Oreochromis niloticus: one gene and its partner. The protein of the gene in region 1 purifies or fractionates together with the protein of each later gene. This does not show direct contact. Links are inferred from orthologs where the notes say so. Each region holds a gene or a part of one and is shown in the gene's direction. Other genes may lie near its edges.

Region 1 (7,625 bases):
TAAAAGAAGTGGTCCCTTTGAACGGAGCTGCAACCGCTCGACTGACGGTACATTCCAAATGCGGCCGATGTAGATCCAGGAACATTGATTCAAAGTAAAGCTTTAATTCCACAATATAAGGAAACAGCACTGTATGCAAAATGAACATTAAATTAAATGGTCTTTGGTGGTGAGGATGTTTTCACAGTCTGGAGTGTGTCAGTAGTGATTTGCTCAAGTCCTTGGCCTCCCCGGCTGTTCTCACTCTCTCGTAACCTAGAACTGACATGGAGTGGTGGCAGTAGTCTTCCACTTGTTTGATCTGTTGGATGCTGAGCACTGTTCTCCATGCACTTGCAGCTTGTGTGGCATTCCTGGAGGAGACTATAAATGGCTTAGATGAGGAACTGGAGCCACTGGTCATGTTCAAAGCAAACATCTCAATGTCATGGTTGGTAGTGAGGTTGGCAAAGCGGTAGACGCTCCTCAGGGTCTTAACTGGGTTTTCGACCAGGTCTTCGTAACGTACAGCCATGTACTTCCCCTTCAGCCAGCTGGGTGGGTTTATGGCAGTCCTCAAAGTCCTGGAAGTGCGGTCGCAGATCACCTCCATGGCTCCAATGGAGTGGTAGTCTGAGCCATCCTTCTTGTTAGCTTTGTGCCCAGGGTCCACGAAAGGTATCCGCCGGAGTTTGGGGTCTCTGCTGCGGACCACCTGTAAATTTTCCCTTATCAGACCGTGTCTGGATTTGATCCTGGAGTTGGCTACTGCCCGTGGGTCTCTGACTAAGTGTATCACCTTCAAATCCAAGGACGGATCCTCCATAAGCGGGGCCAGCACATTTACATCCAATATGCGGACCCCTTTAATGACTATGGTGCTATATTTCAGGCACTCTTCCTCTAACAATCTAAGGCTTTGAGGGGGACACTTTTTACACACCTTATCATCCACCATCCCCACCACCTCCTTCCTGTAGGCTGAGCAGAGGGGATATGAGCACACCACTTTATTGAGGGTGGCCCCAAACAGTCCGAGGGAGGTGAAATTCTTACCTCCCGGGCTGTTGTAAAGTTGGAAAACAGACAGATCACAGCGGTATAAGGAGCTAAGCATGTCCCTGGCCGCCCCTTGCAACGACACGGCATCACCGGGGTACAGTTTCTGCCAGATGTGCCACATTGGCTCATACAAGAAGAACACGTCTGGATTTTGATTAAACAGCTCCCCAAAAAAGGAAGAGCCTGACCTCCAGGTGGTCAGCACATAGATAAGCTGCCTCTTCTTAGCCAGAGAGGGCCTGTACAGGAAGCGAATGTCAGATCTGCTCTGATAAGTGGTGCTCCTCATCTGATGATTACACTGCTGCGGCTCCTTAGTCCATTTATAATTAGCCAAGTTAAGCATAGTAAGCACGAGCAGTAACAAATAGGCCATAAACAACACAATCCTCTTTCTGCGTAGCACTTTCATCACGATCCCAGGCTGTGCTATTATCTTGGTATGATTCCTGTATGTTTTAAGCTTCCTTCCAAAGCCTGCATCCTTCTCCCAAGGCGCTGTCAACTTTAGTGGTTGATGATATTGTTTGCCTCTCATCTGTAACCTCGGAGAGTGGCTCTCACCGCTGGACGAAGCTCCTTACATTGACTGTGCACCAACACGCTCGGTAGTGTGTTTATGGGCTGCACCGGGAATTAACAACCAGATGAATTAGGTAATGTATTCGGCACCAGTTCGACAGCCACGAAACGATATAGCCTTTTCACTGCACTGCGCAATGTTCGTCATAGAAATGGTAGAAGAGGGGAGCGTTAAAGTTGTCCATATCAGGCGTTGCAGTGATTCTGTGTTTGGCCCGCGTTCAAAACAAAAACCAAGAAGCCTTCAGCATTGTAACAGACGCCCAGTTTGGGCACGTTCAGCGGAAGCATCCTCGCGCAATTACCAGCTGAAACATCCTCAGAAATGCGGTGGATTCGGGCGTCGGTCACGATTCCGTGCGACGGGCCGGATCCTCAAAATTACTCCGCAGCTGCCATGATGGAGCAGAGAAACGCTTTTATTCGCAGTTAGGGCTCTTACACGTTTCTCCGTCTCGTTCTTCTGCTCGTCCAACTAATACAAACTGGGCCGATTCAATCTGAATAGCAGGACCAAGACCCGCCCTCCGAGAGAGCGCATTGGAGCGAGACGAGCCGACGCTCGTCAGCCAGCTTACGTCATTGGACCTACTGCGAGCCCGTCACGTTAATGGACGCTCCGACAGATCACAGCAACGGTAGATGAGGAGGGCATGGGGGATGGATGGTGGCGGTGCTGTTGTTATGTTTAGGTGAAGTCCACCTCACATTGTCTGAACCGTGCTCCGGCCTCTTGTCTCTACCCACTGAAAGCGATTGGCGGGTTTTCTGTTTTGTTTTTTTGTTCCCTTTTTTCGATATACAACCTATTTTTAGTATTTCTTTTTTTTTTTAAAAGTCTTAAGGCCGTGGTTTTATTCCAAAGCCAGTCTTTACTTTTCCTTTTACCCACGTCCTCCTCATCGTGTGTGACTGCAGGAGAGAATCAATATTTCAAATTAAATGTATTAGCCCCCCCCCCCACTCACTACAGCCACAAGAGGGTAGCCCGGGGTTTGTCTTAAAAGCAGCAAAGAAAAACCCTGTTTCATTACAAAAGAGCTATGCACATACCGCTGAATTATTTATCTAATAAGATGAAATCTAATTTTTAAAAAATAGAAACACTTGAATTTTAAACTGATCTGAGAGTGATGGACTACAGTATGATTGTAGAGGATGTAATAATTTTTCATTGGACGTGATAGAAACACTCAGCGGCAGTGACAAGCACTCCTCTCAAGTGGAATCAGCTGAAATGGGACATTTGACAGCTGTTCCCCGGGAACTGGAAAGGCCATGTGGTTGTATGAAGGGAAACACATGCTCTGCAGATTGAAAATCATCTTTCCTAAGACGCTTGCCTGTGCGGCATTACAACCTTGAACAAGCGGGGTGGGGAGAGCATAGACTGAATGAATTGAAACCGCTCGAGTCCCTTGACCCTCCCCAGCGAGGAGCCTCTAAATATGTAGGGTAATATCCCCGTTGTGATTTTACTATACTGTTTCTCATCAAGCCCTGCTCAAGTGCTGTGCATGGAGTGAGTCCTTCTGAAGAGCGACATATTAGGCTTTGTGTTGACTATACAGTATTTCCTTCCTGTTCTCGGTAACGTGTGCTTTCAATATATCTTCATTTTTATTTTCTCATCCAATGCGGGTGTCTACAGCGAAATACCTTTGTGCAGACTGCCCTCTGCTGGAGCATTGAGGTCCCACCCTTAAAAAGGATCTACTTAACAGCAGACTTCCACATCATGAACAAATATATTAATCATACATATGACATACTAATTTATATTCGTTTTTCAGTGTGCAAGCATATAGATAAAAATATAAGTGTATGGTGTTAATGGAGCTTGGTTTAAGAAAAATCGTTTAATCTTATTCTTTTATAAGGAAGCTTGTTTTTAATATGAAACCTTTCCTACTGTGCAACCGCTTCATTCCACCTGCATTTTACAGATGTTTATAAAACTTCATACAACAAAAGCCATATTAGGATTCGGTGCCGTTGGAAAGCAAAGAGCCCTTCATTGAATGTGTTTTTCTTGTATCAAGTCAAACAGTGAACTCAAAAACACAGCAGAGAATACTGAAAGTGCACGTTTCCCTCCACGCCCTATTTTCAACATGTATTCACACAGTGACAGAAACCCGCCCAGGAAATTACTTCTGTTTCAGTGCATGGTATTTGTTCTGTTTGGCAGTGCAAGTGCTGAGCGTGGTGAGTAAAGTAATATATTTGGCTTACATCATCAGAAATGTGTGTGGTGATGATTTGCAAGCCAATATTCAATATTCACACATTTCTTATTTTTTTAAAAGAAAGAAACAAAGACCTTTCTACATTTTAGAAGCCAACTGTGTTACATTTATAGAAAAACCAAAGGTCGTCTTTAATGACATCTGATTTCAAATGTAATAATAATAATAATCTTGGTCTTTACTCGGCCTGCATAAGAGAGCTGAGCATTAATTATCAATGCTTTATCACTAAGCACGCTGACTCACTGTCACTTCATTATGGCTTATTGAGTTGGATGTGAAGGCTTGTTACATTTTGTGCTTTCTTTTGATTTCACTTCTTCATTGCTTTTCTGTAGTGAATGAACTGAATGAAGTACATGTGCCCTAAAACTGTATTCCAGTCCATATTAAACCCTTTCTTTCAGTGGTTACAGCATTTCTTAGCAATATTCTTTGCAGGTTGTTAAAAGTGGGTGGATTGATTCCAAAAGCAAAAGTCTCGAAAACAATGATAGTATCAGATACTAGTGCAATATGACTGATACTTTGTTTCTCTCTGTTAAGTGCAATATAGCCCACTCATTGTGTAAAATACTTTTTTGGAAATAAAACGTATATCCAAGAGATCCACTATGAAAAATGTTTTTTTGTTATCACTGTTTACTTCATCTATAGGCTATAGAACATTTAAACAACAGAAGCTGACATAAGGTGCTTTAAACACAGACACGTTTACATTTCAGCATAATTATAAAGAGATTTCACTGAATCAGGATACCAGATGTATTTCCTAAGAGTCTGTCACGGATTATGTGAGGCCATATGCCGCCATATCCATATCCATGTGCACTAAATGTCACCCATGCATGTCCCAACACAGCATTTCCATCAGGACTTCCACATTACTGCAGGAAGTGACCTGAGCAGGAGCCACAACCATTGCTGATTTCTGTCTTTATCTCCCAGTCTTTAGCGCTTAACGTGCTGTGTGTGTGCAGTTTACGTGCATGCTTCAGAGTCAGCACATGTGCATGCACTGTCACAGTGAACGCTCACACGCTGTGAATCTACACAGTGTACTGTACACGGCAAAGATGCACTGTTACGTAATCACGGAGAAGAGGCTTTGCGCCTGCGAAACGATCAAGCAGGTGGAGGAGGAAACATGCGCAGTGCACGCCTCGCCAGCAGCATCAGGACCACTGCGATGCGAGTGAGAAGATGGTGCTTGTAAACACGCCGCGAGAAATGACCGCGTTGTTTCGTCTACTTGCCGTCGCCGTGAACACTTTTTAACCCCACGTTTGAGATCGATGGTGCGAAAAGGGCTACAGGAGGCGATATTTTAACCCCCAAAAAGGGAAAAGCGCACGCACCGGAGCTGGGACGGTAATGCCAGCGATTACTGACACTGGTTTAAGTCGGCCGCTTTAAACCTCTGCTGCGCAACTACAGAAGCATTCCTCACATGTCATCGCATATGACGGGATTTCTCGTGTAATGGTCGTCGGTTTCTAGTGGGATGCACATCAGCGTCTTGCCGTACTCGCTCTCCGTCGTAATGGCAGCTCTGTACCATGGCACGGACGCTTCCTCTCCGGACAAATTCCTGGCCTTGAAAGACGTGAGAGAAGTGAAAGAGGAGACGACTCTGGACGAGAAGCTCTTCCTGCTGGCATGCGAGAAAGGTTTGGCTCTTGTTTCGTCTAATTTAATATCTGGGCTGTTGTTCCCTGTTTGCAATGCAATGGGATGTCCGTGCAACACGTGACTACGATCTGAGGGAAGCTCGTTATTGTGATCATTAGGGATGCTGAAGCTACATGTCTGATATAGGAGGTAGAGCGCACACGGAGTGACAGCATGGCAGATGTCATACAGGCTCATTTAGCAGCTGGCAAACTACTCAATCATTACAGATCCCCCCACTCCAGTGTATACCACTCACAGCTGCCCACACTTTGGATACTGTGGAAATTTACCCAAGGGGCAGTTAATAGTTAAATGTCTGCTCCACTTTAAGTTTCGCTCCCTGGTCTCCTGACGTTTCACAAACCCCAACATGGAAAGTTCATGCAAACAAGCTAAATGCCAGCAAGGCAAGACGTGGACAGTGTAAGTGTAAAATAACAAAGAGGCATGGGTTTTCTCAACTGGTCACCGTGGCGGGAGAATATTTCATTGATAAGTTGAGAACATTGTACAGGCAGAGGTGTGCTAAGCCAATAACTGCCACTGTGACCATATAAAGTCTCCCTAAACGTGGCCCAGCAACAGAAATTGTCCTTTGAGGGAGATGTTATTGTTACACAAGATTAAGGGTTGCCGCTGGAGCCGAGCCTGTTCTCTGAGAGAGCTCGCCTGATAACCGGCGCTGTGTGTTTGTGTCGTTTTGGCACCGCGCTTAGACTAATGCTTCGCTTCTTCAAAGGATCCGCCTTTGTGAGAACTTGCCAAGGTGGATCACATTTATGATGTGCTGCTTTGTCATTGACTTGCTTCTCAGGTGACTACTACATGGTGAAGAAACTGCTGGAGGAGAACAGACACGGCGAGCTCAACATCAACTGTGTGGACGTGCTGGGCCGAGATGCAGTGACCATCGCCATCGAGAATGAGAATCTGGACATCCTTCAGCTGCTCTTGGAGTATGGCTGCCAGGTAACGAGAAAGCACAGACTTGGGGCAAAATAATATACACAAGACATCATTTACATCACTAAAATCGTGCATTTCTTTCTGTGTAGGCAACAGATGCTTTGCTGGTGGCCATAGACTCAGAGGTGGTAGGAGCTGTGGACATTCTCCTTAACCACAGGCCAAGGAGATCTTCTAAGCCCTCTATTGCTGTAAGTCTGCTCTTATTACTCTTTTTCAAGAAAACAAACACCATTAAGGCAAAAACTTGCTTATCTATAATTCCCCTACAGTATTTTAGATTTTTTTTTTAATCCATGCTCTTGTCAGAAACTGATGCAGCGCATCCAGAATCCAGAGTATTCCACCACCATGGATGTGGCTCCAGTCATCCTGGCAGCCCACAGGAACAACTACGAGATCCTGACCATGCTGCTCAAGCAGGACATCTCTCTCCCCCGGCCTCACGCTGTTGGCTGTGAGTGCACGCTCTGCAATGTTAAAAACAAGAAGGACAGCTTACGACACTCCAGGTACAGTTACCCAGAGCTCACAAAATACTTAAGTAGCATTGACTTTGTGCAGACGAGTGCATTAAGAGCCCCAGAGGACTATTTTTTTGGTCAATTACTTTAAATTGGAATAGTCGATACTACTTCTGTTTTGTAGGTGATGTTTTGATTGTTTTGACCCAACAAATCAACCCAGTTTTGCTCCAAGTAAAGTGGCTTTTGTGAAACATTGCAGCCTCTTGTTTCACTGACAGCATCAGGTTGAAAATCCAGTCTGCTACTCCTAGAAGTCGATGATTTAGTCAATGATATGACACACTGGGTTTTAGGAATGCTTTAGCCATTTTTTACAGTCCTATGAATGCCCAAAATATCCTCTTTGTCCCCGAGAGGACTCCAGATTTTCTCTGTTATTGTCAAGCTCGACTGATCTAGCTGTAGGGAGTCAGTATTGGTATTTTACTGAAATACAAAATCAATACAAACTCTAATTTAAGGGAAAACAGCAAAACAGCAGCAGTTCCTCTGGGAAGAAGGAGTTCTTGGTTTCTGATACCTTCTCGGACTTGCAGATGAGATTTTGCTGATCTCTTCCGCAGGGGCCTTTTTTTTCTCTGTGCAG
Region 2 (7,282 bases), on another chromosome or scaffold:
CCTGCTGAACCTTTAAATCAAAAATCTGAACGCTGTATGATGCAATGCTTTGTTTCAATGCATTTTGTTGGCTTTGTGTTCAGCTCTTGGATAACCTTTAGAGTAGAGTTGTACAACTGAAAGTGGAAGACAGTTGTGTGCAGCAGTAGCATTAAACCACCACGTTTCATCTGGGCTTTTTATTCTAGCGCAGGCTTTATATTCATTAAAGACAAAAAGGTTATAATACTGTAAGATATTCACTTGTCACTAAAGTAAAACTACTTTTAACAGTAATCATGCTACTTTTATGAGTTTGACTTTAATTTTTCTGGTTACTGTTTTACACAATATTGACACATTTTGGAATGAAACTCTTATTTTAACAATAAATATGTCCTTCATGACGAAAATAAAGGTCTTTTTTCCTTAAGGTAATTCTTCTGTGTGTGGTTTCTTCTTTCTGTCACAGAAGATGAGTGTGGCTGGGATGTGCAGGTGAGTGCCAAAATGGTCTCATAAATCACTTTGCTGAGATTTCATAACACACTTTCCTATACAAAGATGAGCTGTGCGTTGATGGAACATGACCTGAGGCGTTGGCTGTTAGACTTGCACGCCTGCATGGCATTAACATTCATAATGCTATGCAGAAGTTTTTTGTTTGTTTGTTTTTTTATGAAGAGTATTCTCTTATCCAGACATTCATGATGTTCCCCTTTGACCAAATGAAGAGACTCGAACACAGTTCTCTCTTAAACTCTGTCCATCTACAGCTGAGTTTTTAAATTAAATATTTTGAGGTGCAAGTTGATCTGTTGTGTCTGGCATTTCTCTTTTTGTCTGGTAAATTCCTTCAGCTAGCCAATCACAGCCCAGCCTGAAACAGAACGCTGTATTATTGTGTAATTACAAGGAAATAAAAGGAACGTGCACTGAAATTGTTTTCTGGTGTGTTTCAGCAACCAGTGCCTAAAACAAGCCAAAGAGGTTCTTCACTTTGACCTTTTGACCTCCAACTCTTGTTCTTGGTGGATTAAATCAACCCAGAACATAAGCAGCGTAAAGATAGATAAGCACTGATGCTCATATTCACAACTACAACCACTTATTGTATTCGTTTGGACTGTGGAAGGAAGCCAGAGCACCTAGAAGAAGATCCATAGGGACATGGAGTTGAACATGCATACTGCACACAGAAAAGCCCCATCTGGCTGTTGGATTTGAACCCAGGACCTTCGTGCTCTGAGGTAATGGTGCTAAGCACCACACCACTGTTGCTGCCCTATGCGTATGATGCAATGTAAAAATGTCATTTCATATATGTTTGAAAAAGCAATAATTAAAAAAATGATCCTGCATTGACCTGATGCCCTTATGGCTATTTTTATTCTCCTATCACAGTTAACCCCGTTCTGATACTCAAGAATTTCTATTACTATTGTTTCCATCAAATTTTGCGCAAATGCAAATTATAGTAAGTTTGCTTGTGATTTCTTAGCAATCGACACTAATGAGTAATGAACCCAGTTGCTGTTCCATATCCTCATGACTTTTACCTCTGGCTCTGGTACCTGATGAGTTGTTTGAGATTCTGTCCTCTCAGTGTTCTGAGTGGCAATTAAGTGTTTTTAATATTCTTCGTATCATCTGAAATTTGCCACAGTTCACAATGTTTTTTGCACCTCAGCTTACATAAACAAAGTCATGCTAGCGCATAATGTGCAATCTCATTTGCACAAATGTTTCTTGTAAATTTGCTAATATTTTCCGCAGTGTTAGTAGCAGTTTGTGTAAGCTTCTCTTCCAGGCTTCAGCAAAGTAACATCTTTGTTTGAAGCAGGTGCTCATTTGGTTATTTTGATCTCACTTCGGTGCCACACCCAGTGAACTCAAGGAGGCTAACCAGGTGTTTATTCATAGAATAGCTTTCTAAAAAAAAAAAGCCAAAAAAAAGCATTAGAGTAGTTCAGAATAAATGAAAGCAAGAGGAAAAAACTGAAGTCTACAAAACCTTCATTGGTGCACTCTTTTATCTTAACATTATGCGCCAAAAAAGCATTAGTGCTTCAAGTTTTTAAAGATAATTTTATTTGGTGTCTTGTGTGACTTTATACATCTGCACTTGACTATAGTTGTATTAAACTGGAACCAACACAGTCTTGTATCCCTACATGTTCAAATGTGTCCACTTGAACTCATTTCCACTTGAATTTATTTAAGAATTTTATACACCTGCTTATTGAAATTTTGAGTAAAACAATCAAATTGTCCCTGGTGAGTTTGGTCTAAGGTATTTATTCATTACCATACAGATTTGAGCATTTATGCATTACTTTTAGCCTTTTCAACAATTTAGACTTATGCTTATACTATTTAACTTCTAAATGCAGTTTAAACATTACTGAAATATTTTCTGCTTACAATATATATTTGTCATGGTTCTGGGTCTGTGACCCAGCTTTCTGAGTTTTGCCGTGTTTTGAGTTTTCTGTGAGCTCGTTTTGTTTTGGATTTTGAGATACAGTTTATGTTCTAGCTCTGCATCTAGTCCTTTCAGCATAATGTTTCCTTGTGCTTCTTAGTTTCCCTTTGTTTCCAGTCTGTGTTTCTCATAAGATTATGTCATCTTTTGTTATCATCTTTTGTGTTCCCTTTCTCCTCAGTCAGTCATGTCTCTGCATTTATCTCCTGCCGCTGTGTGAAGTTCACGTGTGTTGGTCTCAGTGTTTGTTGCTTCCTGTTTTATTCTGATAGTCACTCATCTCCTCTAGGTTGTGTTATTTTTGCTTCCCATTGTCTCCTTAGATTCCATTCAGCTGTGTTCCCTGGTGTTTCCTATCTCCATAATTACCTGGTGTGTATGTTGCCTGACTTTCCCTTTGTCTTCTGCCAAACTGTGTGTTTCTTCCTCCTGTGTCTCAAAGTTAGGTTTCTCTCTTTGTTCATTCTTCGTGTTACGATTCTTAGCAATAAAGCTGCTTTTGAGTTTTACATCTGGCTTTCTGAGTCCTGTGTTTGTGTCCAACCCTGCCTGCCACACAGCAATATTTTCTCCGCTATTATGTTCAACTAATAATTTTTCAGTAATGGTTAGGTCTTGTAATAATTCATCAATAGCTTTTGGCCTATAGTTTAATCATTCATCACTTTATCTGCTTCTACTGTGTGGAGATACTATTAGTTATTACTGTTATTAATAGAATTGTTTAATTACGAGAAAATATTCATCCAGTTTTCCCAATTACTCATCAGCTTTAATCATTTCTGCCTCCCTTGTTTATAAATAACTTTCAATGAATTAAAAATGGTTTTAATTTTTATTAATTTGTATTATTTTCTTTCTTACTCCTTAAGTTCATTCGTGTTGCTATCACAAACAAATGCTCACCATTTTTGTTTGTAATAGTTTATTTGCACTACAATCATCAATAAACAATTGAAATTAAGTTCCTGGAGATAGAGTAGATAAAGGCTGACTTGTTTGTCCCAATTCAACAAAAGTTTGGCTATGACAGCGTCAACTTCTGGGTTTTCTCATAAAGTCCTACAGTATAACTGATCCAGTGTCATAGCAAAGTATTGAAATTAAATTACAGAATAATTACAGAATAAAGATAGTAAATGAATAGCCCAGAGTTAATAAGAAATAAGGTGCTTCTCAAAATAAACAGCAAAGAGGAGTTCCTCTTCCGTTAACTGAGATAAGCTTTCACACTGAGGAAGGCAAGAGCTGACATCTCTGTGCATGTCGCTCTAAACCTAAAAGCAAATGAGAGCTTTGAAAAATGTGAAAACAACTTCATCATCGTGCCAACCCGTTTCTTTTATTGACACGCCAATCAGACGCACCTAAAATGTGTTTCTCTCGCAGTCCCTCTGGCTGAAAACAGCAGGGTGCCAGCTGGCGTCTCTCCACGATGAGCTGACACAAGAATGTAAACAGACCAGAGTGGCCAGCACGACTTCACAACCTGATGAAGCTGACACCTTGAAAAACTGGGTTCACTAACCAAAATATAAATGTGATCTTATGAAGCAGCTGATGACAGGCGTGATTTTAGATGTGCTGAAATAGCTGAACTATATATTTCTTTCTTCCCTCTATCCATTATAACCGCTTGGATTTTTTCCCCCGTAGGCTAAGGTATGGCAAGTGTCCACACCTTGCCAGGTTCAATTAACTCCCACGTTTCACTGAACAAAACACTTATTATACTCTGCTGTGATCCCTAAATAAGAAATTCCATGCCGGCTACAAACACCCTTTCAGTCTGAGATCACGTCAGTCTCTCCTCCAGCCGAGCAGGTTCCAGGGTGGCTCTCCTGTCTGCTCACTGGTGACTACCCAGCTGCGCTCTGCGGTATCCGAGGAAACACTGGAGGTTTCCCCGTACGCGCTTGTGCATTGAATTTTAGTCACGTCCAACAAAAAGGGCAGGAATAACTTCACTATACAGGACTCTGAGAGAAAAGACCCCGTCCTCCCAGTTTGCATCCACGCCTCCCTCTCTGCTTCCTATATTATCTTTTTTTTTGTCTGTTTCAACGTGCTAATCTCTCCAAACGTGAGGACAGCATGACAGGAGGACTGAAGGACGGCGAGACAGAAGAGGTACAGTATAGCTCTCAGCTATAGTTCTTTTAATTTTTGGTTGTTTGTTTGTAGCTGACATTTACTTTTCTTCCAGGAGCTGATTACCCCCCCTCAAAAAAAAAAAAAAAAAAAAAAAAAAAAAAAAAATGCGTTCACGAGGGAAAAATGAATGCGCTATGTTTCAGTCCTTATCTTGCGCTCTGGCACCCAGTCATGAGCACTTCTCCCACACAGGCTAAGAGAATGACAAGGTCGATGCAGTTTACATTAGAATGTGGGTGTGAGGATTTTACCTGCTAAGTCCTCTTTCAGCACAGTAACCGATTATTTACGCACAAACATTTAAAGTGTACATTTCAATGCGTTTAAAAAAGGAGGAAACAAATCCAGTTTTTACCGTAAAATTCTGAATTTCAGTCACAAATCTTCCCTGTCCTTTAATACCAACTGAGATCGTGTGGTGTGCGTAATAATATAAGGTGCTTGCCTCGTAGGATTGAGGAGGATCATAAGCGCTAAAGGGGTCTTTACGTATTTTTAAAGGATAAAAACACAAGTCCAGTAAGTTATTGCATACTTAATGTGAACATATTACAAATGACATTGCAAATATAACTGAATTCGTGATTTTTCTTTTACTTTCTAAATATATATTTTTGGTGTAGGAAGAGTATTAATTGGAAATTCTTTCATATTTAAAAATAACGCCTTTGCACCTTTCTTAAAAGTGTTTCATTGTCATGGGTAGACTACACGTTGAATCAACTGTATGTCATGTTAACATACTGGATTAGTGTCTGGGTGGTGAGGACCCCTTGCGGCTGGATGAAGGGGTGTGGTACTTTACTTTCTATTCACTTAAACCCATCCCTGTTTGTGGGGAAGCCTGGTAACTTGCAGCTCCAGTCGCTCTCTCTCTCAGCGCGCTACACACTATTCCTTCTCCTCTTCACCCTCTTCTCCTTCTGTCTCCCCCGGATCCTTGCAGGAGTTTCTGCATTCGCCGTTTATCCGAAAACAAGGGAACATATATAAACCCAACAACAAAGACATGGACAACGACAGTCTCAACGAGAAAACGATGGAGGATGTCCACACCAAAGAGATCGACCTGGTCAACCGGGATCCCAAACACATAAACGACGACGTTGTTAAGGTGAGTTAAACCTCAAAATTGGTAACTTGTGAGATTCATGTTTTTTCGTCCATGGCAACCGAAACCACCTGTTGCCGAGTTTACACAGGGCTTAGCTGTATGACAGGCGCTGTAAACTGAAATAATCTCTGATAAACGATGTCCATTTTATTTCTATGAGCTGTCAAACAGGTTATCTGCGCGTCGGACACGCATGCAGTTCTTTTGCGCACCTTTGCTATGCTCCGTGCAAGTGTTACCACTCAGTGTCTTCCCCTATTAGGAAGAAGCTTTGCAAACGTATTAAAGATCATTGAGCGGCGGCGATACAATGGCATGCAGTGCCCTTCTGCACATTTGTTTGTGGAGTGGGTTTGAAACGTGAACGTCCCAACTTCGCTCCAACAGAGGAAACATAACCAATTTCCTGTTGTTGGAACACACATTTCCCACAGTCCTCCCTGCACACGCCTGTCTAATGGGAAAGTAGAATTCTGTACATAACAGAGAAGCCTGGTCGGATAAATACTCAGTATTTATTTTTGTTAAAAGGATTTAGCACAGGGAGAGATGTTATAGCGGCAAAGGAGTGGTGCGCTGCAAGCCACCTGACTCATCTGTGTGGGAGAGAGGAGCTGCAGCCGTGTGCGCCCGGCGGTGCTCCTCTCCAGCTGGTGCATCTGGTTACATCAGAGTGGGGTCAAGCAGCTCCCTGCGTGTTCAGGAAGGGTCAGATCTTTGAAATGCCTGAACTCTGCTTTGTTAAAACAGGGAAACACCCAAGTGGGCGATTAGTCTGAGGGGATCCCTCACCACTCCTTATCCTCCCTTCTTTCCTCCCATTCTGCCACTGCCCCCTCCGTTTCCTCCCCGCATGCCTGTAGTTGCGTCAGAGAAGTGAGTCCATTTGTTTCTTTTTCTTGGCGAATACAAGGTTTTCAGTAGAAATGAGTGCCCATCGCTGCTGAATTAACTAATCAGACCATAACTACTGAACATAACCTTTCTCTTTAAAAAAATACATACATGTGGTAAAGTTTCATCCCCTGCCAAATTGACTGATGAAAACATACTGACAGAGCATTTTGATTAAAACAACTATAATGCACATATACAAGGAATGCATTAAAAATGTTGTGCTCATTTAATTTTCTGTTATTACATGACACTCATTTCACATACAACCTGCCCAAAAAAGTACATTTTGTCTTCCATTTCTCGTTAAATATTTGAAAACACTTCGTTTTTATGGAATTTATCACTGTCTGAGAGGCATGTGTGTCACTGCCAGTTTGTGCATTTTTCCCATATGACGCACAAGTCTACATAAAATGTGCTATGAACATGATGAATTTCCATTTTTGTACGAGAAAGGAAGCTTTTTCAAAATATTTGTTGCTGGGTTTGGAAAGAAAAAGTCTCTTATTCTCTAGTTTTTCTGGTTGCTGCTTCTATCCCAACGTCTTCCACCACTCTCTGGCTGCTCTCTCCCTGCTCTCCTCCATTGTGACAGTGAGTCAGACTCTCCTTCCAGTCTCAGAATAGAATGCAGCTTCACGATTGTCCCACCC

What was found. The genes of interacting proteins can lie anywhere in the genome.
Region 2: the proteins of trpc1 (region 1) and cav1 purify together in Homo sapiens (affinity purification with western blotting; 3 studies listed by BioGRID and IntAct, with this or other methods). This does not show direct contact. The link is inferred for Oreochromis niloticus from reciprocal best matches to the Homo sapiens genes TRPC1 and CAV1.

Annotation. Positions count from the first base shown.
Region 1 is NC_031974.2:17,252,305-17,259,929, reverse strand, and holds the start of trpc1 (short transient receptor potential channel 1), read left to right. Parts: upstream 1-4,619; 5' UTR 4,620-5,376; coding exon 5,377-5,542; intron 5,543-6,360; coding exon 6,361-6,515; intron 6,516-6,601; coding exon 6,602-6,703; intron 6,704-6,821; coding exon 6,822-7,024; intron 7,025-7,625. Other genes in the region: chst2b (carbohydrate sulfotransferase 2), read right to left, coding at 182-1,579. UniProt on the Homo sapiens protein: Forms a receptor-activated non-selective calcium permeant cation channel. Forms a heteromeric ion channel with TRPC4 or TRPC5 that has reduced calcium permeability compared to the homomeric TRPC4 or TRPC5 channel.
Region 2 is NC_031972.2:41,354,030-41,361,311, reverse strand, and holds the start of cav1 (caveolin-1), read left to right. Parts: upstream 1-4,268; 5' UTR 4,269-4,558; coding exon 4,559-4,594; intron 4,595-5,564; coding exon 5,565-5,732; intron 5,733-7,282. UniProt on the Homo sapiens protein: May act as a scaffolding protein within caveolar membranes. Forms a stable heterooligomeric complex with CAV2 that targets to lipid rafts and drives caveolae formation. Mediates the recruitment of CAVIN proteins (CAVIN1/2/3/4) to the caveolae.